4 linked regions of the Saccharomyces cerevisiae S288C genome follow. Changing the gene in region 3 together with the main gene of any one other region gives a genetic interaction. Each region holds a gene or a part of one and is shown on either strand. Other genes may lie near its edges.

Region 1 (6,888 bases), on a different chromosome or scaffold from region 3:
TTCGATCTAGTTTGTCCTTAGTAAAAGAGCTAGCTTCTTCCATCTTATAAGCTATATAACTCCCTGCAGCAGCCATCCCGCCACCCACATATATGGGTAACCTAATAATTTTAGATATAATTTTAGGAAAATGTGATATCGATCTCCTGGTGATAACAAAACTCAAAGCATTGGCATGTGCTGATCTGTGAACATTGCTCATGCGGCTGTGTAAGTGCACCAACGGACTTTTGATGTAAGGAGAGCTATATAGTATCGCCGGATGCGTAGCAAGCTGTCTTCTCAGAATTAAAAGCCGTACTGGGCTCGCATTCATCCTTACTAATGTGTTATAGTTCGCCACTCTTGGGATGGCCCTTAATGAAGTAGAATTACTCATGCTTTCAGAGTATTATGGTGAATATGCGAGGCTATATTATAAGTACGAAAAGAATGGAAAAGCCTAAGAATAAAATGATATCTGTACTACCCAAAAAGAGGCTTTTTCGTGTTCTCCCGTTAACTGGTGTGAACCTTCCTAGCTGATTATGTCTTGCCTTTCAATAGAACGCTACTATTTTGTTTTTAACGGTACAAGGAAATATTAACAACTTGCATATTGATCATCGAATACGAAGCGCTGAATGAGGGTTAATTTCATAGTAAATCTTTCATGGACAGAAATATTTGAAATATATTTCCTCAAAGAGTACACTAGATCCATTCATATTTTAGGCTTCCTATGGAAACCGTTTTTTCAAGGATAAACCCCGCCATATGTTCTTTGCGAAGTCTTTTGCAGTTAAAACTAATTACAACTCTGTTATTTACTGACACCTGCGTTAAAATTTTATCACAATATGTCATCCGCTGAGAGAGATGTACTATTTATAATTACTTAAGAGCGACTACTTCATTTACCATTAGCGAGCAGAAGAACAGCTTACTTGTCGATGTTCTTCTCTGGCTAAATGAAATGTCAATTATTGAGATTGAGATGGGTATGTATGATCGGATTTTGATATCAGCCGATGAGACGAAGATTCAATAGCTTCAACCGTCCCTGCGGGGGGTACTTACCTTTTGTAACCAGTACCCTGTGCAAATTCTCGGCGTGTACTACCTCTTTTGGGACCACAACCCTTTGTACGCACTTTCGTCAGATGCAAATTTTTACACGCGTTGAAAAATGTTTCAGGAAGAGATACTGCGTAAAAAAAAGACACATGTGTTACGCAGGAAAAAGTTTGTGAGGCTTTTTGCCTTAACAGATTGACTTGTAGCCCTGTTAGGTTTACCCAACAGTTGTTTTTCTGTGTGTCGAAAATTTTTTCAGATTGTTTTCAACTGACACTTGCCTGTTTCATATTAGTTGTAACTTAAACTTTCAAACATAAAACTTTTTTGGAAGTCCATCCTTCACATGACTTGAATCCCTTCAATATCGAAACAGTATCCTCAAAATCTCTTATCACTTTTCTAATTGTTTTCTTCCCCTTTTTGTAGTAACTCGCTGTAAAGCACATTTTATTCATAATCTCCTTTGTGCCAGAACTCAAGGTCAATAGGCCAGAATTATTGGAAGGAAAGAGGGAAGAAAATACGATATTGCTAGTTCATTAAGTCAAGGAAGAAAATACTCAAAAAACTGTACAGCTCAATCAGGTACACATTACGATGGCAGCACATCAGATGGACTCGATAACGTATTCTAATAATGTCACCCAACAGTATATACAACCACAAAGTCTACAGGATATCTCTGCAGTGGAGGATGAAATTCAAAATAAAATAGAGGCCGCCAGACAAGAGAGTAAACAGCTTCATGCTCAAATAAATAAAGCAAAACACAAGATACAAGATGCAAGCTTATTCCAGATGGCCAACAAAGTTACTTCGTTGACCAAAAATAAGATCAACTTAAAGCCAAATATCGTGTTGAAAGGCCATAATAATAAAATCTCAGATTTTCGGTGGAGTCGAGATTCAAAACGTATTTTGAGTGCAAGTCAAGATGGCTTTATGCTTATATGGGACAGTGCTTCAGGTTTAAAACAGAACGCTATTCCATTAGATTCTCAATGGGTTCTTTCCTGCGCTATTTCGCCATCGAGTACTTTGGTAGCAAGCGCAGGATTAAACAATAACTGTACCATTTATAGAGTTTCGAAAGAAAACAGAGTAGCGCAAAACGTTGCGTCAATTTTCAAAGGACATACTTGCTATATTTCTGACATTGAATTTACAGATAACGCACATATATTGACAGCAAGTGGGGATATGACATGTGCCTTGTGGGATATACCGAAAGCAAAGAGGGTGAGAGAATATTCTGACCATTTAGGTGATGTTTTGGCATTAGCTATTCCTGAAGAGCCAAACTCAGAAAATTCTTCGAACACATTCGCTAGCTGTGGATCAGACGGGTATACTTACATATGGGATAGCAGATCTCCGTCCGCTGTACAAAGCTTTTACGTTAACGATAGTGATATTAATGCACTTCGTTTTTTCAAAGACGGGATGTCGATTGTTGCAGGAAGTGACAATGGTGCGATAAATATGTATGATTTAAGGTCGGACTGTTCTATTGCTACTTTTTCTCTTTTTCGAGGTTATGAAGAACGTACCCCTACCCCTACTTATATGGCAGCTAACATGGAGTACAATACCGCGCAATCGCCACAAACTTTAAAATCAACAAGCTCAAGCTATCTAGACAACCAAGGCGTTGTTTCTTTAGATTTTAGTGCATCTGGAAGATTGATGTACTCATGCTATACAGACATTGGTTGTGTTGTGTGGGATGTATTAAAAGGAGAGATTGTTGGAAAATTAGAAGGTCATGGTGGCAGAGTCACTGGTGTGCGCTCGAGTCCAGATGGGTTAGCTGTATGTACAGGTTCATGGGACTCAACCATGAAAATATGGTCTCCAGGTTATCAATAGCTTCGAATTGGAAATACTGTGAGCAGTAATTATCAATGGATGCTATTATATAAATATACATACCTACACCCATCCCATATTTACATAGAATAACAACAGTAACATTAGTTCTGTGGAAGCGCAAAAACGTCCTTTAATAAAGTAAGTCAAAACATTCAACAATGAAAATTCAAAGCATTGTCATTTGCTTCCTTTTTCTCTTTGGATAAACGAAACAAAAACGAACAAAAGTGTCATGCACTCAAAAATTCTTTTCAATCGTTTTGGAAACAGTATTATTCACTGACTTATTTGACCAACTTGCTAGAATCATCTATGTTTTCAGGCATTGTTTAATTTCATGATGGCTGTCCCTACTTTAGCTTGTTATGAGCCTTCACTGGCTCGTCCTTATGTATTGCGTCTGACCCAAAATTTGTCCTTTCTTGTTTAGTGGAATTTTTGTTCGGTAATTTCAAAAATGCCTGAATTTTCATTAACAAATCATCTGGTAGTTGTGTTATAAACATAAAAAACTGCTCCCTTCTGGGATGATTTTCAATTGCTCTCTGTACTGCAGGATCATTCAATATCATCTGAACCACGTCCGTCATCATATCCTCATCTATAAGCGCAAGGCTTTTAATCCAGGGCAAATCGGCTATACGAAGAGACATTTCTTCCTCCGGAGACACTACTTTCCACGGGAGATCAAAATATTTAGATAGTTCACTATTGAGATGTGAGAATTCATGAGGCACATCAACGGTATAGTCAACTGCATATGCATCATCTTCAAACGTTAAGTCATGTTCAATGCTAAACTTTCCAGCGTTACCTATAAAAAAGCATTCTATTTTTAAGTTAAACTCTCCCCAACCGGTTTCCTTGATAAAAAATGGCAGCGAGTTCAGTCGTCTTTTGGGCTGTTTGAAGCTAGAGTGCAAATGGTAGATGCATTTAGAGAGGATGGTAGGCTCCACTTCCTTTCCTGTTGCATCTAACATGAGGAGTTCCATCTGCCACCGACGTAAGGGAAGTTCATTTCCCCGGATGTTTTGTTCCGGTATTATAACCTGTTGTGTTTTTACTCTGAAAGTGACTTCTATTGAATGATCCATAAAAGAGCGTCTATTATATGGCACCAAAAAAAAAAAAAAGGGCTTTTGGAGTCAAGAGTAAAAACAATTTAGTCTGTAGAAAAACTTGAGTTGCTGCACTTCCTCTTCACCCGAACATGGCTGTTCTAGTTTGTTGTCGTGCAACTCTCTAATGGTGATGACTTATTGATGTGGCTTTGATTTTTTCTTGCCCGTGTAACGCGACCGCGCCAGCTGTAAACGTCACTAAATAATACCATTAATTGGTCATTTGCTTATATGTTATATAAATGCTTTCTCTATCAAAACTTTGATTATATGACTGCCGAACTTTAAGGGTGAAGTAACAAGTACAGACCAAATAGAAAAGATAAGATTCCCATCGACGGCATTAAGGAGGATGATGAATTTTCGTATCCCCCAATAGTTGTAATATTTCCCGGGGTGATTGTTGGGAAAATCTCAACGCTGGTAACACCCGTGGATAAAGCTAAACTTGTCGTACTAGATAAATAAGAAATGGTGCTCGTTAATGTTGCAGTACTTGTCGGCATTTCACTATTATTGATGATGCTCATATTAGTTACTAAAATATCTTCATACGCGTAAATTTTCGGTTTCGGAATCTCTTCAAATACCTCGTCTGCCCCGACTTTCTTCTGTATGCTGTCTTCCATAATTTCATGTAGAATACTTTCAATTTGAGAAAACTTTTTGTGCTCCACTATTGTTAGAGGATCTTCCAACAGAAAATCTATAACAGATTTGGAAGCAAGGACCGTATCGGTATGTTCTTGAGAATCAACAGCTCGCGGCTCCTCCGGTAAATCTGCTAATACTAAGTATGGATTAAACTCCATTTGATTTAGCAGAGCTGGTGGTAATGAGTTTTTATCCAAATGGAAAACTAAAGGACCAGGTTCATTTTGTCCTGTTTCATCTTCTTCATACTCATCTGATGTAAAAGTAATTGAGTATTTGGTAGCAAACACTTGTGCCATAAAAAAGGCGAAGAAAAGGGAGGATAGATATAATCCTAACATTTCAATAAGGATCAAAAAAGAGAATGGGATACAAAACTTTACTTTCCTTCCTTTCGTGCTAGTTACTGGCTTGGTGTTGTTCTTTAGTTATGTGTAGCAATGTTAGCTGCTGGTTTTTTGTCTTGGATAACTACAAATACTTTCAGGAAAAGAATAATTTATACATTATACAAAAGCGGCCTCTTTTATAAACAAAGGGCAAATGACAGTTAGCAAGACATATCATGGTTGCCATGGGACACAAAAACGTAGCCACAAAAAAAAAAAAAAAGGTGAAAGGAAGCGAGCATTAATTTTTTATTTTAATATGTAACTGTGATATGTATTAACAAAGTATCTTTCATAATTTTTGACGAATATTTTTACTTCTTTTTTACTATTGAAGGTTGGGCTGTGATTCATCGCGCAGAAAACAAGGACCTCATTTGAAAATTTCCTTGAATTGCTTAACAATGCTATTTTTGATGGCAGTTGGAGATGTCTTCCATTCTGTTGGCAATGACTTCCAGTCGATTTCTCCCATGATTTCCTTAATTTGAACTTTTTTTTCACCTGCCTTTGTTTTGAGGGCGTCCAGTAATTTCTTCACATTTTGATCAATATCAAGCTCTGAAGACACTGGCAATTGGTCCATATATTTCTTTATAATGTCCATTTCACCTTGCTCTTTGGCCACCAGATCGTCCCTCTTGTTAGCAAGGAACTCATTGATCGAGTCCTTTCTTTGAGATATTAACTTGGAGTACATGTCGTACAGGGAGTACTCATCAGCGCTCTTCCCTTTTAAAGCAATTTCTTTGTTTTTTATGGCAGATAACATATTTCTGATTGCTGTCTTCTTCATCTCATCCTTGGCAATCATAGCCTTTTTCAAATCTCCTTTCAATAGGCTGACTGCAGCCGTGTAGGCTGGAGAACTGTTATAACGAATGAAGGTTAGTCTATTTGAAACAAGTGGCCTAATTGATTGTCTGAACATCTTGGAATAGTGTTATTTGCTGTATTCCCCAACTTTATCCCAAAGTCTTTTTTCTCCAGTTCATTACTTCTGTAAAAAATGTTGCAGATCCTTTTTCTTCCCTTTAATTTTGAGTCCTTCCCCCCGAAAAGTCCCAGATGCCGGGTAGATGTGATTTATATCATTTATCGTTTATAGAGTATAAATTGGGTGATGCTACACTAAGTACGTATGCTCTTCTGAACTAGACTTAGTTTGCCCGATTAGTCTTTCTCACTCTCTTTCTCGAGGTAGTTGGTCCAAAGCGATACAAAGCTTTCCGTTCTCGATACAGCGCTTGAATTCTTAGACTCATTATTCGAGATCAAGCCGGCCTGTTGTTTCTTATCTTCATCCCAGTTTAAGAAATTGGACAGTAATTCAAGAACTTCAAACTTTCTTGGGTCTGCTCTGGGTATGGACACGAAAGATATCAATAGATTGGATATCAGTTCTTTATCAACGGATTCAGAATCGCTTGATTTCTTCAACATGGCCAGTGCCTTTGTTAAATGCTCATTTAGTATAATGGCTTCGTGACGTAGTTTTCCGATCTGTAAGATGTGCTGCTTAGATTCTTCCTCATATTTTTCCTTCATAGAGGCGTCCTCCTTCATGGCTTCTAGCTGTTTTTTCATGCTTTCTAAAGCTTCTGTGTCATTGTTGTGCGTTTCTATCTCCGTGTCAAGTTGGGATCGTAAAGATTTGACTTCCTGGTCTCTCTCTCTAGCCTCTTCTTCCCTTTTGTTGTCAACTTCTTCTATCTTCAATTCCAGATCATTTAGAGAATTCTTTAATACTGCTTTCTCCTTTTCATGGGATTCCAAAGCCTGTCTCAATT
Region 2 (11,054 bases), on a different chromosome or scaffold from region 3:
TGCAGCTTCCGGTCCACTCAATGGTGGTGCTGAGCAAACAAGAAACATAACCGTTTCCATTCAGTATTCCTATTTCACTCCGGAGAGATTAGCACATTTGAGCAATATATCTAATAATGATAATAACGAAAACAACAGCGCAGCATCCGGTAGCACGATTGCCAACGGTACTGGGCCCAGCTTTGGCATCGGAAATGGGGGCCATCAACCCGACGGTGCTCTTGTTTTATCTTTTCGTGATGTTCCTGCGTCTACTCCACAAGACCGTTTGAACAGCTTCATATCTGTTGCTGCTCAGCTTGCAATGGAGAGATTCAACAGACTATTAAATAGACCAAAAGGAATATCAAAGGATGAGTTTGATAAGCTCCCCGTTCTGCAAGTTTCTGATCTACCCAAGGCCGAAGGGCCCTTATGTAGTATATGTTATGACGAATATGAAGATGAAGTTGATTCAACTAAAGCAAAAAGAAAAAGGGATTCTGAAAATGAGGAGGAATCTGAAGGAACAAAAAAAAGGAAGGATAATGAAGGTGCGCCCCTACGCACAACCGCCGATAATGACAGTAACCCATCGATTACAAATGCTACGGTTGTTGAACCGCCTTCTATTCCTCTCACTGAACAACAACGCACTCTCAATGATGAAGAAACAAATCCAAGCTACAAACACTCACCAATCAAGTTACCTTGTGGCCACATTTTTGGGAGGGAATGTATCTACAAATGGTCAAGATTAGAAAATTCTTGTCCCCTTTGTAGACAAAAGATCAGCGAATCTGTAGGTGTTCAACGTGCAGCCCAACAAGATACGGATGAAGTAGCAGCTAACGAAGCTGCTTTTGAACGTATTAGACGAGTTTTATACGACCCAACTGCAGTGAATAGCACTAACGAAAATAGTTCCGCCCCATCCGAAAACACGTCCAATACAACGGTTCCCACTATCGGAAATGCAAGTTCTGGCGAACAGATGTTATCAAGAACAGGCTTTTTTTTAGTGCCTCAAAACGGCCAACCTTTACACAATCCAGTCCGTTTACCGCCTAATGATAGCGATAGAAACGGTGTCAACGGGCCGAGCTCAACTACTCAAAATCCACCCTCTAATTCTGGTGGTTCGAATAACAATCAAAGTCCGCGCTGGGTTCCCATCCCTTTGACTTTGTTCCAATTCCACAGTCCAAATCCGAATCCTTCCGCTTCTGATTCTTCGGCAAGCCCATCAGCAGCGAACGGTCCAAACTCAAATAACACTAGTAGTGACGCTACAGACCCTCACCACAACAGACTAAGAGCCGTTTTGGATCACATATTCAACGTTGCTCAGAGGGGAACTTCTGATACCTCTGCAACAACAGCACCCGGAGCACAAACTGTTCACAACCAAGGACGTAATGACTCATCGTCCTCTGATACAACGCAAGGAAGTTCCTTTTTGGAAAATATTTCACGATTAACAGGCCATTTTACGAATGGCTCAAGAGACAACAATAACGACAATAACCATAGCAATGATCAACAACGAGGTGGAAGTACTGGTGAGAACAACAGAAATAACTTGTTTTCCTCCGGTGTTGCCAGTTATAGAAATCAAAATGGTGATGTTACTACCGTCGAACTACGCAACAACAATTCTGCTGCCTTTCCTCCTACAGACGAAAATCCCTCTCAAGGCCAAGGTTCAAGCAGTTCGGACACCACCATTCATAACGACGTCCCTAATGATAACAATGAGCAACGATCATCACAATAAACAATACCGCTTCTGAAGTATGTTAATATGAAAATATGTCCTATTGGCAGTCATCCATTTTCAGACATTATTTTCTACTCCTTTTACCTTTTTTTTATCTGCATCTTTATATATATATATCATATACTTATTTTTCTTTACTTCTACTTAAAGTTCTATAATCATTGTTAATCAGAAATTTGCATGTCTCCAGCAAGTAAATATGAAGGCCGAGAAATTAAACCACCGACATAACCTCCTCTGAAAAGTCGTTTCGCAAAACAGTAAAAGGTGAAAACACTTTTAAGAACTGTGGAACACAAACTGTGTTTTCTTACCATAAAATCTTTTACCGGAGGTCGAAATCGTTTTCTTTCTGATTTGGAATTCGACGCTCGAAAAGTGCAGAGATCTCATATTGTTAACGGACTATCATCTAACTTTTTGCATAATTTATACAACATGCTCAGATATCATATGCAAGGTTTTAGTGGGTACGGTGTCCAGTATTCTCCCTTTTTCGATAACAGGCTCGCGGTAGCTGCTGGTTCAAACTTTGGCCTGGTTGGGAATGGAAAATTGTTCATCCTTGAGATTGATCGTTCAGGTAGAATAGTGGAAGTTAATTCCTTTTTAACACAGGATTGTTTATTTGATCTTGCATGGAACGAAAGTCATGAAAACCAAGTGTTGGTTGCACAGGGCGATGGTACATTACGCTTGTTTGATACAACCTTTAAAGAGTTTCCTATTGCTATATTTAAAGAGCATGAACGAGAAGTATTCAGTTGTAATTGGAACTTAGTCAACAGGCAGAATTTCTTAAGTAGTTCATGGGATGGATCTATAAAAATATGGTCCCCTCTAAGAAAGCAAAGTTTAATGACCCTTACTCCACGACCTTTAGAGATTACCAAAATGGTGGATCCATTAAACGCCATTATATTGAAAAAGAAAAGCTTTACAGGTATTTCAAAAAACAGGAACTGTGTATACCAAGCACAGTTCTCGCCCCACGACCAAAATCTCGTATTATCCTGTTCAGGGAATTCTTATGCAAGCTTATTTGACATTAGACTACCTTCCGGCAAAAATCAGAATAATTTTTTAGTGCATTCAGGACTAGAAGCATTGACTTGCGATTTCAACAAATACAGACCTTATGTAGTTGCCACAGGAGGTGTAGATAATGCCATTAGAATCTGGGACATTAGGATGCTAAATAAAAATGAATCAGCGACTATCAAGAGGACTGTGCCCGGCCAACTTCACAATTCATCATGCATCAATGAAATCCCTAATGCGCACGGGCTGGCAATCAGAAAAGTTACCTGGTCCCCTCATCATTCCAATATTTTAATGTCAGCTTCATATGATATGACCTGTCGAATATGGAGAGATCTCAGCAACGATGGTGCAAAAGAAACATATAAAACTAACTCTACGGATGCTACTAAAGGTTCCATTTTCAATTTCACACAGCATTCAGAATTCGTATTTGGAGCTGACTGGAGCTTGTGGGGAAAGCCAGGATATGTGGCTTCAACTGCATGGGATGGAAATTTATTTGTATGGAACGGCTTAGGTTGACACATATTCTTTTTACACAAATTTTTTGCATTATTTAAACTTTAAAATTATTTTTCAATCATTGTCAGCATTTGGCAGATCATTTACGTAATTATTTAATATTCTCAACACGAAATTATGGGTAACAACGCTTCTGACTGTGCAAAAGAACATTCTAAAAACATACCTACGGCAAAAACTGCTAATTACTCAAATTAATCAAGTTTTTATAACGACATAAGCGAGTGCTGAAAGAAGGAATATTTAGAGTCCGATTACCGTTTTATTAATAAACGACATACTTATATATTTGCTGGGCGTTCCACCCGAGGCACGTGATCAAAAGTGATTTTGGTTTTTTCAAAGGCTAAGCTTCGATCTCACTGGAAAAGGAACAATAGCAATACCTAATATAAAACTCAAGCCTCCCAATTATGTTTATAACGGTGAAATAAAAAGCCGACAGAGCAGCTTTTTCTGAGAGGATCGACAAAAAATGTCCTTACCACTAAAGCCCCTTACAATTGACTCAAATAATAAACAACTAGACTCCAAACAGAAGAAGTTTCGTGCTAATGTCGAGCGAGCATTAGAAAGATTTGACTCTGTAACAGAATGGGCGGACTATATTGCTAGTTTGGGAACACTATTAAAGGCGTTGCAAAGCTGGTCACCTAAATTTCAGAATGTAAGGTACTATGTTCCTTCTCCATATCAAGTAAGTCGAAGATTGACATCCTCATTATCGCCGGCGTTACCAGCAGGTGTTCATCAGAAAACTTTAGAAGTATATACGTATATCTTTGAACATATTGGCCTTGAAACTCTGGCTACAGAATGTAACATTTGGATCCCGGGAATTTTACCTTTGATGACTTATGCCTCTATGTCTGTTAGGTCACATTTGATAGAGCTTTACGATAACTATATCCTTCTGTTGCCTCAAACAACGTTAAGACTGCTCATCAGACCTTTGATTTCTAGTTTATTGCCAGGAATTGATGATGAAAGCAACGATTTTTTACCTTTAACTTTAAAACTCATTGAGACTCTGCAGGAGAACTTGGATGATGATTCCTTATTTTGGCAAACGTTGTTTCTAGTCATGACTGCAAATAAAGGCAGAAGACTGGGCGGACTCACGTGGTTGACTAGAAAGTTTCCGTCGTTGAATGCTGTACCTCATCTAGTAAATAAAATAAAAATGGAAGCGGAAGAGAACCCAAGTGAAACTGAAACCAACGATTCTCATCTAGACAGGAAAAAAAGAAAAGAAGAAGCTTTCAAGGTCTTATTGCCTGCTGCCAAAGATTTAGTAACCCCTGAACCAGGTCTACTTATCCGATGCCTTGTCGGTTGTTTAGAAGATGAAAATGATATTCTTATTAAAAGGAGCGTTTTGGACCTTTTATTACAGAGGTTGAGGCTAGACTCTCCCGTTTTGAATGTTCTTATTACTTCTGAGGATAAAAAGTTATTGATAATGAGTTGTTGTAGAACTACTTTGAGCAAGGATATGTCTTTGAACAGAAGAATATGGAACTGGCTTCTCGGTCCTACTGCTGGGGGCATGCTAAACAATAACGGCGGGAACTCCATGGAATATACTACCTCGGTTAAGTCAGCAAACGAGGAAAGTAATGTATATTTTACAAAATATGGATTAAGCGCCCTTTTAGAAGGTTTAAGCGACCTTCTTTCAGAAGAAGAATCCGTGTTAACTGCATTCAGGATAAGTATGGCAGTAATGGATAGATGGGAAATTGGCTCACTTGTAATTCCTGAATTGTTCATCCCACTTCTCTATTCCTCGGAAAAATTTAAACAAAACGAACAAATAATGAAAACGGCACGTACTTTCTTTGACAATACTGAAACAAATATTATATGGGGAAAGCTATTTCAAGAACTTGAAGACATCAAAAACCTAAAAATTTTGGATTTCGTATTAACAAATTTTAATATTGGAAACGACGAAGAGATTATCGTACGCCACCTTCCTTTGATATTATTAACTTTACTGGCCCTTCCATCTAATGATAAAGATTTCGACAATATTTATAAGCTCCAAAAATTTTCTTTGTACAACAAATTGTTAAACTATATCCCCGAGAGAGCCCTTCTCCCTCTCAGTCACTCAAAACTAAAGCACGATGATGAAGTAAGCTGCGAAGAACTTTTGGCCAAAATACGTGGGTTTTATACCAATGTTTCTAATCCATCTAGCATTTTAGAGAAAGAAAATATAGCTGAGCGTTTGCCACCCTTTACAACAGAAGATCTAACTTTTTTAATAGCAGACCTGATTCAGAAGAAGCTTCTTTCAAGTTTATGGGACTTGGAAAATATCAATGAAAGCTCCAAATTATTTATAGCTATTTTCGAAAAGATACCTGAGTCTGAAGAACTTAAAGGACGATCTCACATAAGCTGGTCGGATAAAAAAATAACTCAGAGCATATTTGAGGCTATTCCCAGGCTTTGTGAATCTAATAATGATGCAAAATCAGAAGAAATCGTTGGAATTGTGGAAATTTTTGGTAACTACTTATATTCACGCATGGAATTCATTGAATCGATGAAATTATTGAAAGTAGTCATGATGGCCGTATGGAAATCTTTAAAAGATCCACGCCATCAAATACTAGGTGTCAAGAACTTAAAGACTTTAAACAGATTTATTCCATCCAAATTTATTGAAAGTGCGTTAGTGTATACTTTTGTGGAAGAGGAAGATATATCCGAGAGATTAAGCGTGTTAGATCTGTTATGGACACAATTAGACTCAGATTCAAACTTGATTAGGCGCCCTCTTGAATTAATTTTGGGCGAACTTTTTGATGACCAGAATCCTTTTTATTTAACCGTTTCAAAGTGGATTTTATCGATATTAAACTCGGGATCTGCTTCAAGATTATTTTACATTTTGACTGATAATATTTTAAAGGTTAATCGTCTCGAAAAAGAAAGATTAGACGAAAGGGATGATCTTGATATGCTCACATATGAGTTCCAAATGCTTGCTTATGTTTTGAAAACAAACAATGGACGCACTAGGAAAGTTTTTTCCACTGAGCTTACCTCAATAAAATCTTCGACCATATGGAAGAATGAAGACGTTTCCACATATAAAAGTTTGCTGTTGGTTACATTGATGAGATTTCTAAATATAAAGAGCAATACACATGCGAAAAGTATCAGGAGTGCTCTGATTCTTTTGGATATCTTACTCGATGGAACTGAGCAAAATTTCAAGGACATTGTCATATTTTTGCTGCAAATGTCGTCTAAATATATTGCAGAAGAAGGAATTGAGCCCGAGTTAATAGCAGTTTCCTTGTTAGATATTGTATCGAAGGTTCTCAGACTATCACACGATAATGGTATTAAACTAGACATTTTTGATGACAATGCTGCCCATTTAAAATATATCGATTTCCTTGTTACCAGCGTTTCAAATATGAAAAGCCCTCTTATTGTAACGGCCTATGTGAAGCTTCTTTCCGAAAGCATTGTTTATTTTGAGAATTCTATATTTCGAATGATTTTACCATTGTCTGCATCTCTTGTACAGTGTGTTCAGAGATTGTTTTTGCTAGAAAAGAGAGAAGGTGGTTATTACCAACCAATAGCTTTGCTTCTGGGTGGTCTGGAAGAGCTATTAGAGATTTCACATGGTTACCTTGTCACCGAGGAAAGGGAAGGATACTTTTCTGGGTCTAATCTAAAGGGTGATTTTATTCAATCCGTTGTTTCAAACGTTTTTTCGTCAGATTCTTCCAATGAAGAAAGTAAGATTCAGGGGGAAAGAGACGTAATACTACAATCTTTCAGACAGGTGATTTCATGCTGTTTAGATATCTGGTATTGGGCCCATAACATTTCGTGTAAATCTAACGATGATTCTAGCCTGGACGCCACTAATCATAACTCATACAAGTTCAAATTTAGGTCGAAGAAACTGTTGGAAACCTTATTTCTACTAGAACCTTTGGAACTTCTGGAAAATTTGATCAGCATTAGATCAGACAATACTACAGTCACACTAGTACATGTGCTCGACGGCAATAAACCCGCCATTACAATACCACATTTATTGTATGGTGTAATTATCAGATACAACAGAACGGCATCTGTCAAGTTTTCTAATCGTGACGGAAGTAGGTCAAGCACAACTAAATTAACTAAAGGGGAGCCTTCCATGTTAAAAAGATTAAGCGGGGAATCGATTATTGCATTTTTGTTTAACTACGTGGATTCTGTAGAAAACTCTGCAATGGAGGAGTTTTATGGGGATTTCCTGCTATTTTTCAGAGAAGTAGCAACCAATTATAACCTTTATTCTGATGTTTCGTTGTCTATATTAAAACTTGTTGCCCTTATTTCTGGAAAAGTAAGTAAAACGCAGTTTGGAGAACAAAAACGAGTTAGGAGGGAGATATCTGATGTGTTTTTCAAATACCTACCTAATGCATTTATAAACTTTACGAACTTATATCGTGGCCACCCTGATTCATTTAAAGATTTAGAATTTGTAGTATGGCGTGTTCAATATATCGTCAACGATCAAATTGGAGGAGACAAGTTTAATACAACGTTAGCGACAATTGTAAATCAATGCCTAACCCCTTATATCAAACCCAAAAGTGAAAAAACTATTCCAGGTTATGTCTTAGAATTGGCCGCGGTCGTATCCCATTTAGGTTCAAAAGTTAAAAGTTGGAGGCTTTTAATTGCGGAATTGTTCCAAAATGACAAAAAACTTTCGGTAATTGGCAGCGATCAAACTTGGGAAAAGATTATTTACGAATGGTCCATTTATCCAGAAAATAAGTCAAAAATCTTGAACGATTTACTATTAGAAATTGGCTCCAAGCGTTCAAGTGTGACTCCGACTTTAATCACGTTTAACTTAGGAAGCGATTCTGAAGTCGAGTACAAGTGCCAAAACCTTTTGAAAATATCGTACTTGTTGATGGTATCGCCAAATGACGCATATTTGTTGCACTTTTCCTCTTTAATAAGTTGCATTTTCCACTATTTGGTGTCCAAAGATATCAAGCTCAAGGGAAGCTGCTGGATCTTACTAAGGGTTTTACTTTTAAGATTTTCAGAGTCCCATTTCAATGACTATTGGTCTATGATCAGTTACTGTTTACAAACTAATTTGCAAGAATTTTATGAATCACTTCAAATACAGTCAGAAGTCGATCCACAAACAATATTGCAAGTATGTAAAACTTTGGATTTGCTACTCTTACTCAACATGGAAGGCTTCACCTCTACGAATGAGTGGATCTTTGTTATTGATACAATAAATTGCGTATATAAAACGAACTCATTCGTCGCGCTGGTAGATGAAATCGCAGAATTCAAAGATTACGAAATAACCAAAACTGATGATCTTGAATTACCGACAACTTTAAAAGATGGTCTCCCATTATTACGAGGCATTCACAAAATCGAGAGACACACGCAACTAAGAAGCTTCTTCCAGAATTTGAGTTATCTACATTATGAGAAAGTTTACGGACTAGGGTCAGTTGATTTATATGGTTGTGGTGAAGATCTCAAAAAAGATATTCTGTCATGAGCATAGCTATGAATTTTTCTTTATAAACCGAAATATAGTTATACGCTTTGAGTAAAGACACAGGTTATCAATTATAACGTGAAAGGTTTTGCAACTGTCACCTTGTAAAGCTGTACACACTGAGGACTTCCCATCCCGCTTTTCTCGTTTCAATAAGTTTCACATTCCATTTGTAAGTATCGACAAACCTCTTAATGACTTCTTTAGGCTTATTTCTTGCACAAAATAATATATATGCAACACCATCTGGAGAAAGAATTTGTTCTAATTGTCGTAGCAGTTTATCAGTAATCGCCATCCCGTCTTTTCCACCCAATAACGCTAAATCTAGCCATTGGTCTGCCTCCTCTCTTGATCCTGGGACATCTGGCACACATTCTGCTGGCACATATGGTGGGTTAAATATTAGGACATCAACCTGATTATTCCGAATACTGGAGTTTAAATCAGCTTGAATCACTTCTAAAAAAGAACTTTTACATGAATTTAACTTCGCAGTATCCAAAGTTGCTTCGAGCGCCCATGGGTTGATATCAACAGCTAAGTGGATGGAATTTTCCTGCGGTATTATTTTGTTTTGCATTAGAAATGTTGTGACGATACCTGATCCCGAACCAATTTCGCAAACGATGGCCAAACGATTACCAAATTTCTGTTTCAAAAAATCATGCTCTTTTTCCAAACAGTCCAGTATGAGGAAGCTATCCTCAGCAGGCTCATATACTTTATCGTAATCGCATTTTACATAAGGGGTCGGTAGCATACTTCACCTTTCTCACCCTGTGTTAAGTTTATCAATATTATATTTCAGAGTATAATTATATCAATATTTATATGAAATCAAATTCCGATGGCGTCTTCGGGAAGGCAAACGAACAACTTTTAGCTGAAAAACCAAAATTCTGTTATTCAAATGAAGTATTCCGACAGAGGAATAAATAAAGGAAGGTAATTAACTTCCTTACAGCCGTAACCGATGATTGTTAAAGTGAAGACACTGACTGGGAAGGAGATCTCTGTTGAGCTGAAGGAATCAGATCTCGTATATCACATCAAGGAACTTTTGGAGGAAAAAGAAGGGATTCCACCATCTCAACAAAGACTTATATTCCAGGGAAAACAAATGTATGTTCATTCAGTGGTTAATTATCTTTTAAGTTTATTTACGTTTTTGAGACCTTACTAACGACCAGGATAGTGATGATAAATTAACAGTAACGGATGCACATCTAGTAGAGGGAATGCAACTCCACTTGGTATTAACACTAAGAGGTGGTAACTAGAACCATTTTCCGTCATTTATGGAATTTTATCGAAGGTGTTCATTAGAAAAGAAGACAAAACGAACATAAGTTCACTTGGACTTTGGAAGGCTACCGCCCCCAATTTGTCAAAAAAAAAAATACATACAATTTAGTCTATAGAGTCTGTTATAATAAATTAATTGTTTTTAGACGAGAAATGTGAACTAAAACTGTTTAGTATCTATCAAATTATCCGTTATAGCATAGTACGGCTATATATGGTCTGATTGCTGGTCTCATATGACTTTATGGTTTAAATTTCATAAAGCTGGCCATTGCATGGTTCGCGCTGGAAAGAGAGGAAAAGCGTGGTGATAAAGAGCAAACCAAGCATACTGTTATATGCGATTACAGACTATCTGACCAAAAGACATATTTCGCCATTTCTTCTCAATCATGTCTTCCAGGGCAATTTTGTAAGCACGATTGGATGTCCTCTTGTAGTATACCGAATTTCTCATTAAGAAAAGCATCCTTTGCGCTACAACTTTATCAAGTGGAAGTATATACTAAACTCGGAGCATGCTTTTGCCAACGATATCAGTCTTAGCAAAGGGACTTCTAAGGACGTTATTGACGCCTGATTAATCTAATCAAATATAGGTTTGTCATTTTTTTAAACCGAATGGATTGACTTTTGTTTTCATCATAAGTATTACTCTCTGATAGGATCTCTGTGGTACGCTAAAATCTATCTGAATTGTTTGGGACACTATGCATGAATTTCTTATCAGTTTAAAATTTCTATTAAGAGGATAATTTATTTCATATCTTGGGTAGATGAACCATTAGAAATGTTCGAAGTAGCTGCATTGTTATCTTCTGTTTTTGGATTTTCTAGTTGAGCTGTTGT
Region 3 (7,154 bases):
TGCTTGTTAACTGTAGACCTAGCCTTTTGGCAACAAGTTCAGCTAAACCTCGGTGGACATCTGGTGCTAATAATTTGATGGAATTTGTTGGCATTTTGTAATCCTAAGTGAATATATGAGGCTCAGTTTGAATGGGTAGGTTCGTTTATCCTGCGCTGGCAAAGTACGTAGAAAAAAGAGTATGAATCTTTCTTAGATATATTCAAGAAAAAGTAAGTAAATAAGAGGGTACGTGATTATAAACAGATACGAGTTTAGCGAATAATACCGTTCGCAATCATAACTTTATAAAACTCATCCTATTACTTACTATTCGACTGGAAAATTTTCGCAGGCAAAAAAAAAAAAAAAAAAAAAAGAAAAGAAAAATCGATGAGCCTGCCGTACACAGAGATATAATAAATTTAGAATGCAAGAATGGTATGGCGGTGATGAAGATAATCATTTCCCTGCTTTTTTATTTTTGTTGCGCTTCTTCTTGCTTTTGGATGCCTGTGCTGCCCCATGTGGTTGCTGTATTAGGATGGTACCTTCTTTTACACTCTCATCAGCGTCTTTGAATTTTTCTTGAGAATCTAGATAAAACATTAGGTCCTTGACTTGCTCTTCCAAATCTTGTTTAGACTCTTCTAACGCTTTGTTTTCTCGCTCTAACTGCTCTTGTTTTTTTGATAAGTGATCTAGGTTCGCTTGTAGTCCTTCGATTACTAACATATCTTCCTCAAGCTTAGATTTCTGGGCCATTTCCCTTTTCTGCCACTCCTTTTGAGTGACCTGAAATTGGAGTTTCAAATCTTCCATAGACTTCTTCAAACTTTCAACATTCGAAGAATCAGACGCAGTTTGATCTTTTTCTTGTAATTTCAGTTCATAATATTCTCTTTGAGACTCTAATTGAGATATTAGGACTTGCACATATTCTAGATGATACTCCCTATGCCTTAAAAAATTTGCCGCCAGCTCGCCATCTTTTTTATTAGAGTTCGATTTCTCACCGTTTTTGCTCCTGTTCCCGTAAACAACATTTTGTAGTTCATCGGAGTTGCCTATATCATTGTTGTCATCGTCACCGGAGCCGCCGACCTCTACTAACTTCCCATCAACTTCATTTTGAACTAGGCGATGGACATAATTATCACCCGCATAATCCCACACTCTTTGTGTCCGTATATCCATCGCAAAACAATGTAAAGTTTCTTCATAATGCTTGATTGCGTGTTTGGAATTGTAACGACCGCATCCAACATTACCGCAGATCAAGCAAATCCATAGATTATCAGTGGAACCACATGTTGCACAATGTGCGGAATCACCTGCCTGTTTCAATAATGATTCCCTGCTTAGCCGCAGACTTGAATGTCGACACACTGGACACCTTGAATTCTTCCACTTATTTAAGCATTGGCAATGAAAAGTGTGCTGGCACGGGATCGTTACTAATCCAGTAGTTTCTGAATCCATTCTTTCAAGGCAAACGGGACATGTGGGGAGTTCGACTTTTACCAGTTCCTTTTTTTTCTTAACAGTGAATGGATCAGTAAGCAGATAGGGGAAGTCCTCGTTAGCGGCTGGTCTTTGGAAGAGCTTTTTTTGAAAAACTATTTCTTTTACAGAGATCACATGGCATGTTTCGGGATCCATCCTGCTGAAACTTTTGCCATTGAACTCTTCCTTGAAATTTTTCGCATCAAGTGCATTCCTGAATTTAATTAAGACCGTGAAATTAAAACCCATTCCCTTCTGCTGATTTCGTAATATACGAAAGTTTGAAACTTGCTTATTAACAATATCATCACCAATATAAAAATGCAATAAATCGTGAACGGTAAAATAAGTTGGAACAAACAGGATACATATCATAGTATCATCTCCCGGGATAGTCAAAATCTCCTTCTCATTAAGAGTATTATTGGCATTGCTTAGCTTGAATAGCCTTATTATCCCATGGCCTAAGTATTGTGAAGTAATCAAATCACTTTCCTCTTCTTTTGATGTTTGATTTTTGAAATCAGTTATCATGTCTATTTCCAAGTCACAGACTCTCCAATCCTGCCAGTCTTGATTATTACTTTTAATACTTTCTTCCCCGATACTTTTTGCCTTCAACTTTTTCGGAATACTCTTGAAAATTTGATAAGCGGATTCAACCTGATTTTGGTTTCCAAATTCTAAAGTAATGATATACTCAAATTGATCCATAGATGTGAGGGCCAACCAGAAAGTAATACATTCAATGCTACTATTCCGTTATTGCCTCTATGTGTTTTCCTTTGAACTTTTACTTAATCCGCGGGTGAAATTTCATTTTTATATTTTCCATTTTATAACAGGCCGTCCCCTAAAAACACCGCGTAAGAACATAGTTTATACACTTATATAAGTAAAAGGTGTAGTAGGTTGGAATGGTAAAGGGCGTATTGTGTGTCAATTATGCGATGAAAATGTATACTTCGAAGTCAATAAAAAAAGAACCTGGTTTGCCTCATGAAGATGTTGCCTGCCCTTTCTTATTTAGTGTTTGTAAGTTATTTTTGTCAAAGTCTATTCATTCATTCAAAGTAGCTTCCTCCACTAGAAAATCGATTAAACTTCTTGGATACGCAGGTCCATGGGTATGACAACATTCTTGTCCTTGCAATTTGCTCATAACGTATGTCACATCAAAGTCCCTCTCTTCTGAAAGTTTGTAAAGATACTCCCAGGTGGCGGGGACTGTTAGTACATGTCTTCCTGCTTCGTCAGTATACTGGGTATTTCGCTTCATAATTTCATTATCCTTTAGCGAATACTTGCCTTTGTGATTCAGTTTGCTTTCCAGGACCATAGAGGTAAAAAATTCATCTTTCGTTGGGAAAGAATATTTGTAGTTGGTATCATCTTCTATGTCCTTTGAAAAATTTTCATTACCACTCCGCAGTAGCAGTCTGTTCTCTGCGTTGATTTCAGTATTTGCCTTTCTTAGTTCCTCAATTTCTTTCAATAAACTTTGGCGGTTCCTTTCACTTTCTAACAATTTATCTTGTAATTCTTTCATTCTGGCTTCTTTTCTCTCTCTGAAGGCTTTTTGGGCGGCTCTGTTTTGAGCCTTTTTCTTTGCCTTAGAGTCATCTGGAACATTCTCATTATGAGCAACTGAGGGACTCCTCGAACTTGGAGATATACCATTATTTTTAGAAAAATAATTTGTATTACTATAACTATCATTATCATTATTATTGTTATCTGCCATAACATAGGTAGAGTAGTCGCCTGAAATAGGGGTTAGTTGAATTGCTTGAAGATCACTACCCTTAGGGAAAGATATGTTGTTCTGTAATAGCAAATCATTATTTGATCTGTCAAGGTTCAAAGCAGGACACTGGTCTTCCAAAATTGGGAAGGGTGCTGTTTGCTCGCTCAATAGGTCTGGTTGTTGTTTTATACATTTGCTATCTTCTTGGAATAGACTATTTCTGATACAACAATCCTCCTCTTGGCATTGAGGGTTAATAAATTTCATGAATCCGCTGGTATTATCATCCATATTAGAAGGCGTCATAACAATTGCTTCAGCCTTATTCTTCGTTAGTTTATACTGGAAGTAAAGCAAACACCTACTGCCCCTTTTATCGAAATGATAAACAAATAAGAAAGCTCAGAGGGCCTCCGGTAATATTCAAATCGATCTGTTTTATAATGCTTATTGAATAATAATGCCGTTGCTGTACTCTTAACATAAAGCTACGAAAATCCACTATACATTTTTCTAAAGAAAAAAAAAAAATTCAAAAAAAATTGATTTCGCCCAGGATCGAACTGGGGACGTTCTGCGTGTTAAGCAGATGCCATAACCGACTAGACCACGAAACCAAATTCTTATTGATTATGTTGTATTACGGGCTCGAGTAATACCGGAGTGTCTTGACAATCCTAATACAAACAGTCTTAGGGAAGTAACCAGTTGTCAAAACAGTTTATCAGATTAATTCACGGAATGTTACTTATCTTATATATATTATATAAAATATGAATCATACTGTTGGAACGAGAGTAATTGATAGTGACATGAGTTGCTATGGTAACAATCTAATGCTTACATCGTATATTAATGTACAACTCGTATACGTTTAAGTGTGATTGCGCCTATTGCAGAAGGAATGTTAAACGAGAAGCTCAGACAATACTGAAGCGGTGTTAAAGACCTATTAGTTGAACATGTTATGGTAGGTACATATATGAGGAATATGAGTCGTCACATCAATGTATAGTAACTACCGGAATCACTATTATATTGGTCATAATTAATATGACCAATCGGCGTGTGTTTTATATACCTCTCTTATTTAGTATAAGAAGATCAGTACTCACTTCTTCATTAATACTAATTTTTTACCTCTAATTATCAACATGGCGACCCCAGTGAGGGATGAAACAAGAAATGTTATTGACGACAACATTTCTGCGCGGATTCAATCGAAAGTCAAAACAAATGATACTGTCAGACAGACGCCATCATCATTAAGAAAAGTTTCTATTAAAGATGAACAGGTGAAACAATATCAAAGAAACTTAAATAGGTTTAAAACCATACTAAATGGTTTAAAGGCAGAAGAGGAAAAACTTTCTGAGACTGATGATATTCAGATGCTAGCTGAAAAATTATTAAAACTCGGAGAAACCATTGACAAGGTTGAGAATAGGATTGTGGATCTAGTTGAAAAGATACAATTATTGGAAACAAACGAGAACAATAATATATTACATGAACATATAGATGCTACAGGGACTTACTATTTATTCGATACGTTAACTTCAACCAACAAAAGATTCTACCCTAAGGATTGTGTTTTTGATTATAGGACTAATAATGTCGAGAACATTCCTATTCTCTTAAACAATTTTAAAAAATTCATCAAGAAATATCAATTTGATGATGTCTTTGAAAATGATATCATAGAAATCGATCCTCGTGAAAATGAAATCTTGTGCAAGATAATCAAAGAAGGACTCGGTGAAAGTTTAGATATCATGAACACAAATACAACTGACATTTTTAGGATAATCGATGGTTTAAAAAACAAATATAGAAGTTTACATGGTAGAGATGTCAGAATTAGAGCCTGGGAAAAGGTTTTGGTTGATACAACATGTAGAAATTCCGCATTGTTAATGAATAAACTTCAAAAGTTGGTACTAATGGAAAAATGGATTTTTTCTAAATGCTGCCAAGATTGTCCTAATCTAAAGGATTACCTACAAGAAGCTATCATGGGAACCTTACATGAATCCTTAAGAAATTCTGTGAAACAACGTTTGTACAACATTCCACATAACGTAGGAATTAATCACGAAGAATTTCTAATCAATACTGTTATTGAAACAGTAATTGATTTGAGCCCAATTGCAGACGATCAAATAGAAAATAGCTGCATGTATTGCAAATCTGTTTTCCATTGCTCAATTAACTGCAAAAAGAAACCAAATAGGGAACTTAGGCCTGACTCGACCAATTTCTCAAAAACCTATTATCTACAAGGTGCACAGAGACAACAACAACTTAAGTCCAGTGCAAAACGAACAAAAGTCTTGGAACAAGACACAAAAAAAGTCAAACAAAGTGTACAACAGCAAAAAACTGGTAATTATTGATACCGGTTCCGGCGTAAACATTACCAATGACAAAACCTTACTGCATAATTACGAAGACAGTAATCGCAGTACACGATTTTTTGGTATTGGGAAAAACAGTTCAGTGTCTGTTAAAGGGTATGGCTATATAAAAATCAAGAATGGTCACAACAATACTGACAATAAGTGTTTATTGACTTACTATGTACCGGAAGAAGAATCCACTATAATCAGCTGTTATGACTTAGCCAAGAAAACCAAAATGGTTTTAAGTCGAAAATATACCAGATTGGGAAACAAAATCATAAAAATTAAAACCAAGATAGTTAATGGTGTCATTCACGTAAAAATGAACGAGTTAATTGAACGTCCTTCCGATGATTCAAAAATAAATGCAATAAAACCTACTTCTTCTCCTGGATTTAAACTAAATAAAAGGTCTATTACCTTGGAAGATGCTCATAAAAGAATGGGCCATACAGGAATTCAACAAATTGAAAATTCCATAAAACATAATCATTATGAAGAATCCCTTGACTTAATCAAAGAACCAAATGAATTTTGGTGTCAAACCTGTAAAATCTCTAAAGCCACGAAAAGAAATCATTATACCGGGTCTATGAATAATCATAGTACTGATCATGAACCAGGATCATCATGGTGCATGGATATATTTGGCCCTGTATCAAGTTCAAACGCGGACACTAAAAGGTACATGCTTATTATGGTGGATAACAACACGAGATATTGCATGACCTCCACACACTTCAATAAGAATGCTGAAACTATTTTAGCTCAAATCAGAAAGAATATTCAGTACGTGGAAACACAATTTGACAGGAAAGTCAGAGAAATTAATTCAGACAGAGGTACTGAATTCACAAATGATCAGATAGAAGAATATTTTATTTCAAAAGGAATACATCACATACTTACTTCTACACAAGATCATGCTGCTAATGGAAGAGCAGAAAGATACATCAGAACAATAGTAACTGATGCAACAACACTCCTAAGACAAAGTAACTTAAGAGTAAAATTTTGGGAATACGCAGTAACTTCTGCTACCAATATAAGAAATTGCCTGGAACACAAAAGTACAGGTAAACTACCATTGAAGGCAATCTCACGTCAACCTGTTACAGTGAGATTAATGTCATTCTTACCATTTGGCGAAAAAGGAATAATTTGGAATCATAATCACAAAAAATTGAAACCATCTGGACTTCCTTCTATAATTCTATGCAAAGATCCAAATAGTTATGGATACAAATTCTTTATACCATCCAAAAATAAAATTGTCACATCTGATAATTATACAATTCCCAACTATACGATGGACGGTAGAGTAAGAAATACTCAGAATATTTACAAGAGTCATCAATTCAGTTCACATAATGATAATGAAGAAGATCAAATCGAAACGGTCACAAACTTATGTGAAGCTTTGGAAAACTACGAAGATGATAATAAACCAATTACTCGCCTGGAAGATTTGTTCACAGAGGAAGAGTTATCTCAAATAGACTCAAACGCAAAATACCCAT
Region 4 (6,903 bases), on a different chromosome or scaffold from region 3:
GGGTGAATGGTGTAAATCTCAATTGTTTTCAAGCATTTTTATCACGAAAACTTCTTTATATTCCTACATTCAGAGTCATTATTGGGGAGTTGGGTTATTGAAATACTGGACCCCAAACAACATCCCAAACTTTTTGTTTGCTGTCCCAAATATTATTATTTTAATCTATTCCTCCATATATTTCAGCAAAATTTATCCCTCCTATAACTTGAAGGCTCTCGTATGGATCACCAGAGCACTGGTCGTCATAGTATGCTTTTTTGCCCATGTCCAAATTCTGAATCGTATAGCCTCCTTTTTACCCTTGCACCTTTGGTATTTGGCTGATAGATTGGTTAAAACTTCTGATCCAAAAAAAATGGAAAATCCGAAAGGTGACGATAAGATAGTCAAGTTTTACATATACTGGTTGGCATTCTGGATACCTTTACAGACTATCCTATTTGCAGCTTTTTTACCACCAGCCTGATCCTTAATGCTTGTATATTTCTTCTTTTACTAAAAACATATAAAAACTATTTACATATAGAATATAGAATAATGCGACACTATGACCTTCTTCATTTTCTCTTTATTCTTCACCCTTTATTTGAAATTTCAAGGTTTACTTTCTTCTTGTTAGTATACTATTAGTTAAAAACTCTAGGGCAGAACGAGCATCAGATTCAGGAAGAGAATCCCGTAGATTTTGTAATGCCTTGTCCCTATATTCCTCCGCTAGTATTTTCGTCTTCGCTATACCATTATGGAGTCTCACAGAATCAATAGTTTTTTCAACATCACCCCTCTCTGAAAAATTGCGTGAAATTAGTGGACCTAAAGATGGGTCTTCTTTCCATGCAAACAAGACTGGAGCAGTAGCAATACCTAATTTTAGATCCGCGCCGGATGGCTTCCCTAAATCTTTTCCAGACACAGTAAAATCAAGCATATCATCTACGAGTTGGAAACATATACCTAGATTTCTACCGAAATCATAGCATTCGTCGATAACGGCAGGTGATGCCCCAGATAATATAGCAGCACATCTGCAAGATTTTGATATCAAAGCAGCAGTCTTCAGATAGGTCTTGTGTATGTAGTATTCAAATGCAGTTTCTATAATCTGATCATGAGATAATTGCAGCCCCTGTTGGCGGCTTGGAACACGAAAGTCGTGCTCTTTAACTTCAAGCTTTTTAGAAGGAACCGGAAGTAGCTTATGGCCATTTTCGATGGTATCGATATCCGCGTCAATGGAAGTATTTTTCAGTTGCATGAACTCACCTTCGACAAGATTCGCAATACTATTAGACATTAGTTCTACGACTTCGGGGTTGTGTAATCTTGAAATTGACACTGTTGCTCTCCCTAAGAGAAAATCACCCGCCAAAACGGCCATCTTGTTGGTAAAGGCAGCATTTCCGCTTGGCCTTCCTCTTCTTGTATCAGAATGATCAATAACGTCATCATGAAGTAAAGACGCAGTGTGTATCATCTCTACAATCTCTGCTAATCTTCTCTGTTTGGGTAAAATCCCTCTTTGTTTGTCAAAAGTTTCTTCTGGCAAAGGCTCAGGACCTTTTGTCAAGGGATTTAGTGGTTTAATACCGTGAAGAATATGTAGTGGGGATATGCTACTTGCAGGACGTTGAAATAGTTGATTTTGACTAGGTTTAGAGTAAATTGGGTCCTCAGGAACATCCGACTTGTCAATTTTCAAGTGATTTCTTTCTGTCATGGGAATTTCAGAAAGTGCTCTTGACAACAACAACACTAACAAGGGACGTACTTTTTTGCCTTCTGTTTCAAAATAGTAACTAGTAACCTTGTTTAGCACCGGATGGCCAGACCCGATGAGGGCAACTATATTTTTGGCCAATGTGTTCATCTCCTTCGAGACTAATGATATGGGATTATTCCAAAGAATCTTGGGAGTTACCAACTTACTGGCAGCGTTTAAAGCAACTGCAAAGGAGGATTTAAAGCGGCATCTTCGAGATGAAATCAATTTGATGTGATGAGCAGCGCCAGACCTTTGAAACATCGTCCCACTGTACTCAATTCGGACTGAATGGCACACTTCTTGTGTTGTAGAAAATCTCTATAGATTATAATGTGTCTTACTTTAATCTTCTAATCCCCTAACCCTGTTACCCTCGCTCGGGCTTTTTCCGAAGATGCCAACAAAATGCTTAGAATGAAAAAAAAAAAAATTTTCGTAATAATGACAGGTTTCAATAGAACTTAAGCAGTAAAAATAGGGTAAACACAGGTAAAAGACGGTATGGAAACGGATAGTGGTATACCTGGTCATTCATTTGTGTTAAAGTGGACAAAAAACATCTTTTCGCGCACATTGCGTGCATCTAACTGTGTACCTAGACATGTTGGGTTCATCATGGATGGGAACAGGAGATTCGCTAGAAAGAAAGAGATGGACGTAAAGGAGGGCCACGAGGCAGGATTTGTTAGTATGAGTAGAATCTTAGAACTGTGTTATGAAGCAGGAGTCGATACGGCTACCGTGTTTGCCTTTTCAATTGAAAATTTCAAGAGGAGCTCACGGGAAGTTGAATCACTGATGACTTTAGCGCGCGAAAGGATACGACAAATCACAGAACGTGGAGAGCTGGCCTGTAAGTATGGGGTACGCATTAAAATTATCGGCGATCTCTCTTTGTTGGATAAGTCTCTATTAGAAGATGTTCGGGTTGCTGTGGAAACTACAAAGAACAACAAAAGGGCCACGTTAAATATCTGCTTTCCATATACAGGCAGGGAAGAAATCTTGCATGCCATGAAAGAAACAATTGTTCAACATAAGAAGGGCGCCGCTATAGACGAAAGCACGTTAGAATCGCATCTCTACACGGCGGGGGTACCCCCTTTAGATTTATTGATTAGGACAAGTGGCGTTTCCAGATTAAGTGACTTTTTGATATGGCAGGCATCGAGTAAGGGCGTACGCATCGAATTGCTGGATTGTTTATGGCCAGAGTTTGGACCTATACGGATGGCATGGATTTTATTAAAATTTTCGTTTCACAAATCCTTTTTAAACAAAGAGTACAGATTAGAGGAAGGTGATTATGACGAGGAAACCAATGGGGACCCCATCGATTTGAAAGAAAAAAAGTTGAATTAAGAAAGGTCTGCATTTTTTTCCTACCACATGGCATAGATATTTATAGAGTAATGAGCAAGATAAATGAGTTCGCAAAAGAACATTCAAATAATTAGTAATAAATGAGTAGAAATTCACGCATCTTTATAGAGTTTATAATGCAAATCTCCGCGCGGGGTAATTTGAAGTCCAATTTTTCCGAGCGGCGTGCCAGTTCCACTAAATTATATAAAGCGGATAGGAATTGTAATTACCTCCCAAAGTTAATATTCGACTAATGTATATTTCATATGTTATAGCGCTTGTAGGAACTGTTTTCCATTAAAACTAATATTCTTTATTTCTCAATTTTATTTATTTATTTATATTTTTCCTTTGCAAATATATTTGACGCAGGTTCGGATCAGACATTTGGTATATAAGGAGACCTGCATATACTCAAATAATGGTAGATTTTTTACCAAAAGTAACGGAAATAAATCCTCCATCCGAAGGTAATGATGGTGAAGATAACATAAAGCCACTTTCAAGTGGTTCAGAGCAGCGGCCGTTGAAAGAAGAGGGGCAACAAGGTGGTAGAAGACATCACCGGCGGTTGTCCTCTATGCATGAGTATTTTGACCCGTTTTCCAACGCAGAGGTCTATTATGGACCAATAACAGATCCAAGAAAACAGTCAAAAATTCATAGACTAAATAGAACCAGAACTATGAGTGTTTTCAATAAAGTTTCTGACTTCAAAAACGGAATGAAGGATTATACCCTGAAAAGGAGGGGTTCTGAAGACGACAGCTTCCTCAGCAGCCAAGGTAACCGTAGATTTTATATTGATAATGTGGATCTCGCTTTAGATGAGCTGCTCGCTAGTGAGGACACAGACAAGAATCACCAAATTACCATAGAAGACACTGGGCCCAAAGTTATTAAAGTCGGGACGGCCAATTCCAACGGTTTCAAACATGTAAATGTTAGGGGAACATATATGCTTTCTAACTTGTTGCAGGAACTAACCATTGCAAAAAGTTTCGGACGACACCAAATATTTTTGGATGAGGCGCGTATAAATGAAAACCCTGTTGATAGATTATCAAGATTGATAACGACTCAATTTTGGACGAGTTTAACGAGAAGAGTTGATCTTTATAATATTGCAGAAATTGCTAGAGACTCAAAAATAGATACGCCAGGCGCTAAAAATCCAAGAATTTATGTTCCATATAACTGCCCAGAGCAGTACGAATTTTACATTCAGGCATCTCAAATGAACCCGTCCTTAAAACTTGAAGTGGAGTACTTACCAAAAGATATTACAGCAGAGTATGTTAAATCATTAAATGATACACCGGGTTTGTTAGCCCTGGCTATGGAAGAACACGTTAATCCATCTACTGGTGAAAGGTCCCTAGTTGGTTATCCTTATGCGGTACCTGGCGGTAGATTCAATGAATTGTATGGCTGGGATTCATATTTAATGGCACTGGGACTCATAGAAAGTAATAAGGTTGATGTTGCAAGAGGTATGGTGGAGCATTTTATATTCGAAATTGATCACTATAGTAAAATTTTGAATGCTAATAGGAGTTATTATCTTTGCAGATCTCAGCCACCATTCCTAACCGATATGGCTCTGCTCGTATTTGAAAAGATAGGAGGTAAGAATAATCCAAACGCTATTCAGTTGTTAAAACGCGCGTTCAGAGCTGCTATTAAAGAATATAAAGAGGTGTGGATGTCGAGCCCTAGGTTAGATTCTCTGACAGGGCTGTCTTGTTATCATTCTGATGGTATTGGTATCCCTCCGGAAACTGAACCAGATCATTTTGATACTATATTATTACCGTATGCTGAAAAGTACAATGTTACTCTGGAAAAGCTTAGGTACCTTTATAACGAAGGCATGATTAAAGAACCCAAACTGGATGCATTTTTTTTACATGATCGTGCCGTGAGAGAGTCAGGACATGACACGACTTATAGGTTTGAAGGTGTATGTGCATATTTAGCGACAATTGATCTAAACTCCTTGCTCTATAAATATGAGAAAGATATTGCTTTCGTCATTAAGGAGTATTTTGGTAATGAATATAAAGATGAGAATGATGGAACGGTAACCGATTCTGAACACTGGGAGGAGCTAGCTGAACTGAGGAAAACAAGGATTAATAAGTATATGTGGGACGAAGATTCAGGGTTTTTCTTCTATTATAACACGAAACTGAAATGCAGAACGTCTTATGAGTCTGCAACGACTTTTTGGAGTTTGTGGGCTGGTCTTGCAACTGAAGAGCAAGCAAAAATCACAGTAGAAAAAGCTCTTCCTCAGTTAGAAATGCTCGGCGGACTAGTTGCATGCACAGAAAAATCAAGAGGTCCTATTTCTATTGATAGACCGATCAGGCAATGGGATTATCCTTTTGGTTGGGCGCCGCACCAAATATTAGCCTGGAAAGGTTTATCTGCATATGGTTATCAACAAGTAGCTACAAGATTGGCTTATAGGTGGCTGTACATGATTACAAAATCATTTGTTGATTATAACGGAATGGTGGTAGAAAAATATGATGTGACAAGAGGGACTGATCCGCATCGCGTTGATGCGGAATATGGTAATCAAGGTGCTGATTTTAAGGGCGTCGCTACAGAAGGCTTTGGTTGGGTGAACACAAGTTATTTGCTCGGATTGAAATATATGAATAATCATGCAAGAAGGGCTCTCGCTGCTTGTAGTCCACCATTGCCATTTTTCAATAGTTTGAAACCCTCTGAGAAAAAATTGTATTACCTATAATATTGACGAACATATGTAAATAAGATATATGTTATATTCTTCTTTCTATCAATAACCATGAGATTGTGCCTCAGTAATATTTGAGACGATTTAGAGTAAGGTCAAATATTATTATTAATCAAGTTGTGTAAAGGCTCATTTGTGAAGGTTAGAATAGTAATCGATGATTTTCAAGTAAAAGTGTTTGAAGGGCATTTCAGTAACATCTTCAAACTAGGAGTTTGTTGAGACAAAAAAGTCTGATTTTCATAAGATCATAACTTACGCTTTGAAGATCGTTATGAGTACCTTGTAGCTTGCCAGATCTTCTTGCTTATTCTTAAGCTCTTGGGTAGTACTGTATAAGACTGCTTGACATCGGGAACACTATCATTACCGTGTGATAGAATTCTCGTACCAAGCCGGTTCACCTTTGCGTGGTCTAGTGCATAGGAAGAATGACTAATAGAAAGCTTTCATTTCTATTAGTGTCTTAAATGCGAAGAAGGTATGGGAATCTATTACATACATGAAGAATATAGGATCTGTATATCGTCGTCACCGACGTAAGGTTTTTTTGTCAATTCTCGGTGAACAATTTTTTGCAAGAAATATATTGATACTTCTTGTTGAAATATTTTTCTTTTTCGGAAAACAAAAACATAAAATAATTATTTAAGAAAAAAAATTAATTAATAAATTTAAATAGAAAATCTTTTTTACTTAATAATAATTAAATAAATAAGTCACATGATTTATGTAGGATCAATTTGCTCAAGATTAATTTATTATTATTGATATTAGTAGGTGCCAGTTGAATAGCTATATTTTCAGTCTGTTTGAACGTTCTTTTTTTCATTTTCTGCTGAAAGCAAGTACTCCTACTTTTATTACTTTACATGTTATCGGAGGCCTGCACAGACACTTGTATCCTATACTATCAAGGTAAATATGATTGATTGATCCTCTTGGGAAATGGGATTTTAAGTTTTGTTAGCATTCTGGTTTGCCAACCTGTTGGTAAAGCACT

The links.
Region 1: mutations in YAP3 (region 3) and SPR2 together harm fitness more than expected from each alone (negative genetic interaction), as found in Saccharomyces cerevisiae (2 studies listed by BioGRID).
Region 2: mutations in YAP3 (region 3) and DOP1 together harm fitness more than expected from each alone (negative genetic interaction), as found in Saccharomyces cerevisiae (one large-scale study listed by BioGRID).
Region 4: mutations in YAP3 (region 3) and RER2 together harm fitness more than expected from each alone (negative genetic interaction), as found in Saccharomyces cerevisiae (one large-scale study listed by BioGRID).

Annotation. Positions count from the first base shown.
Region 1 is NC_001147.6:741,254-748,141, forward strand, and holds SPR2 (Spr2p), read right to left. Parts: upstream 5,051-6,888; coding exon 4,340-5,050; downstream 1-4,339. Other genes in the region: dynamin-related GTPase MGM1, read right to left, coding at 1-316; STE4 (G protein subunit beta), read left to right, coding at 1,657-2,928; SAS5 (Sas5p), read right to left, coding at 3,282-4,028; AIM41 (Aim41p), read right to left, coding at 5,472-6,029; RUD3 (Rud3p), read right to left, coding at 6,272-6,888.
Region 2 is NC_001136.10:732,744-743,797, reverse strand, and holds DOP1 (Dop1p), read left to right. Parts: upstream 1-3,800; coding exon 3,801-8,897; downstream 8,898-11,054. Other genes in the region: ubiquitin-protein ligase SAN1, read left to right, coding at 1-1,756; PEX7 (Pex7p), read left to right, coding at 2,198-3,325; MTQ2 (S-adenosylmethionine-dependent methyltransferase), read right to left, coding at 8,995-9,660; NEDD8 family protein RUB1, read left to right, coding at 9,874-10,022, 10,096-10,180; HPR1 (Hpr1p), read right to left, coding at 10,962-11,054. UniProt on the Saccharomyces cerevisiae protein: Required for traffic between late Golgi and early endosomes, and for the normal structure and organization of the endoplasmic reticulum. Required for normal cellular morphogenesis.
Region 3 is NC_001140.6:81,523-88,676, forward strand, and holds YAP3 (Yap3p), read right to left. Parts: upstream 3,539-7,154; coding exon 2,546-3,538; downstream 1-2,545. Other genes in the region: ribose phosphate diphosphokinase subunit PRS3, read right to left, coding at 1-94; ETP1 (Etp1p), read right to left, coding at 442-2,199; YHL009W-A (gag protein), read left to right, coding at 4,387-5,628. UniProt on the Saccharomyces cerevisiae protein: Transcription activator involved in the regulation of genes expressed in response to environmental changes.
Region 4 is NC_001134.8:237,932-244,834, reverse strand, and holds RER2 (ditrans,polycis-polyprenyl diphosphate synthase), read left to right. Parts: upstream 1-2,266; coding exon 2,267-3,127; downstream 3,128-6,903. Other genes in the region: GPI-anchor transamidase GPI18, read left to right, coding at 1-469; COQ1 (trans-hexaprenyltranstransferase), read right to left, coding at 605-2,026; alpha,alpha-trehalase NTH2, read left to right, coding at 3,552-5,894.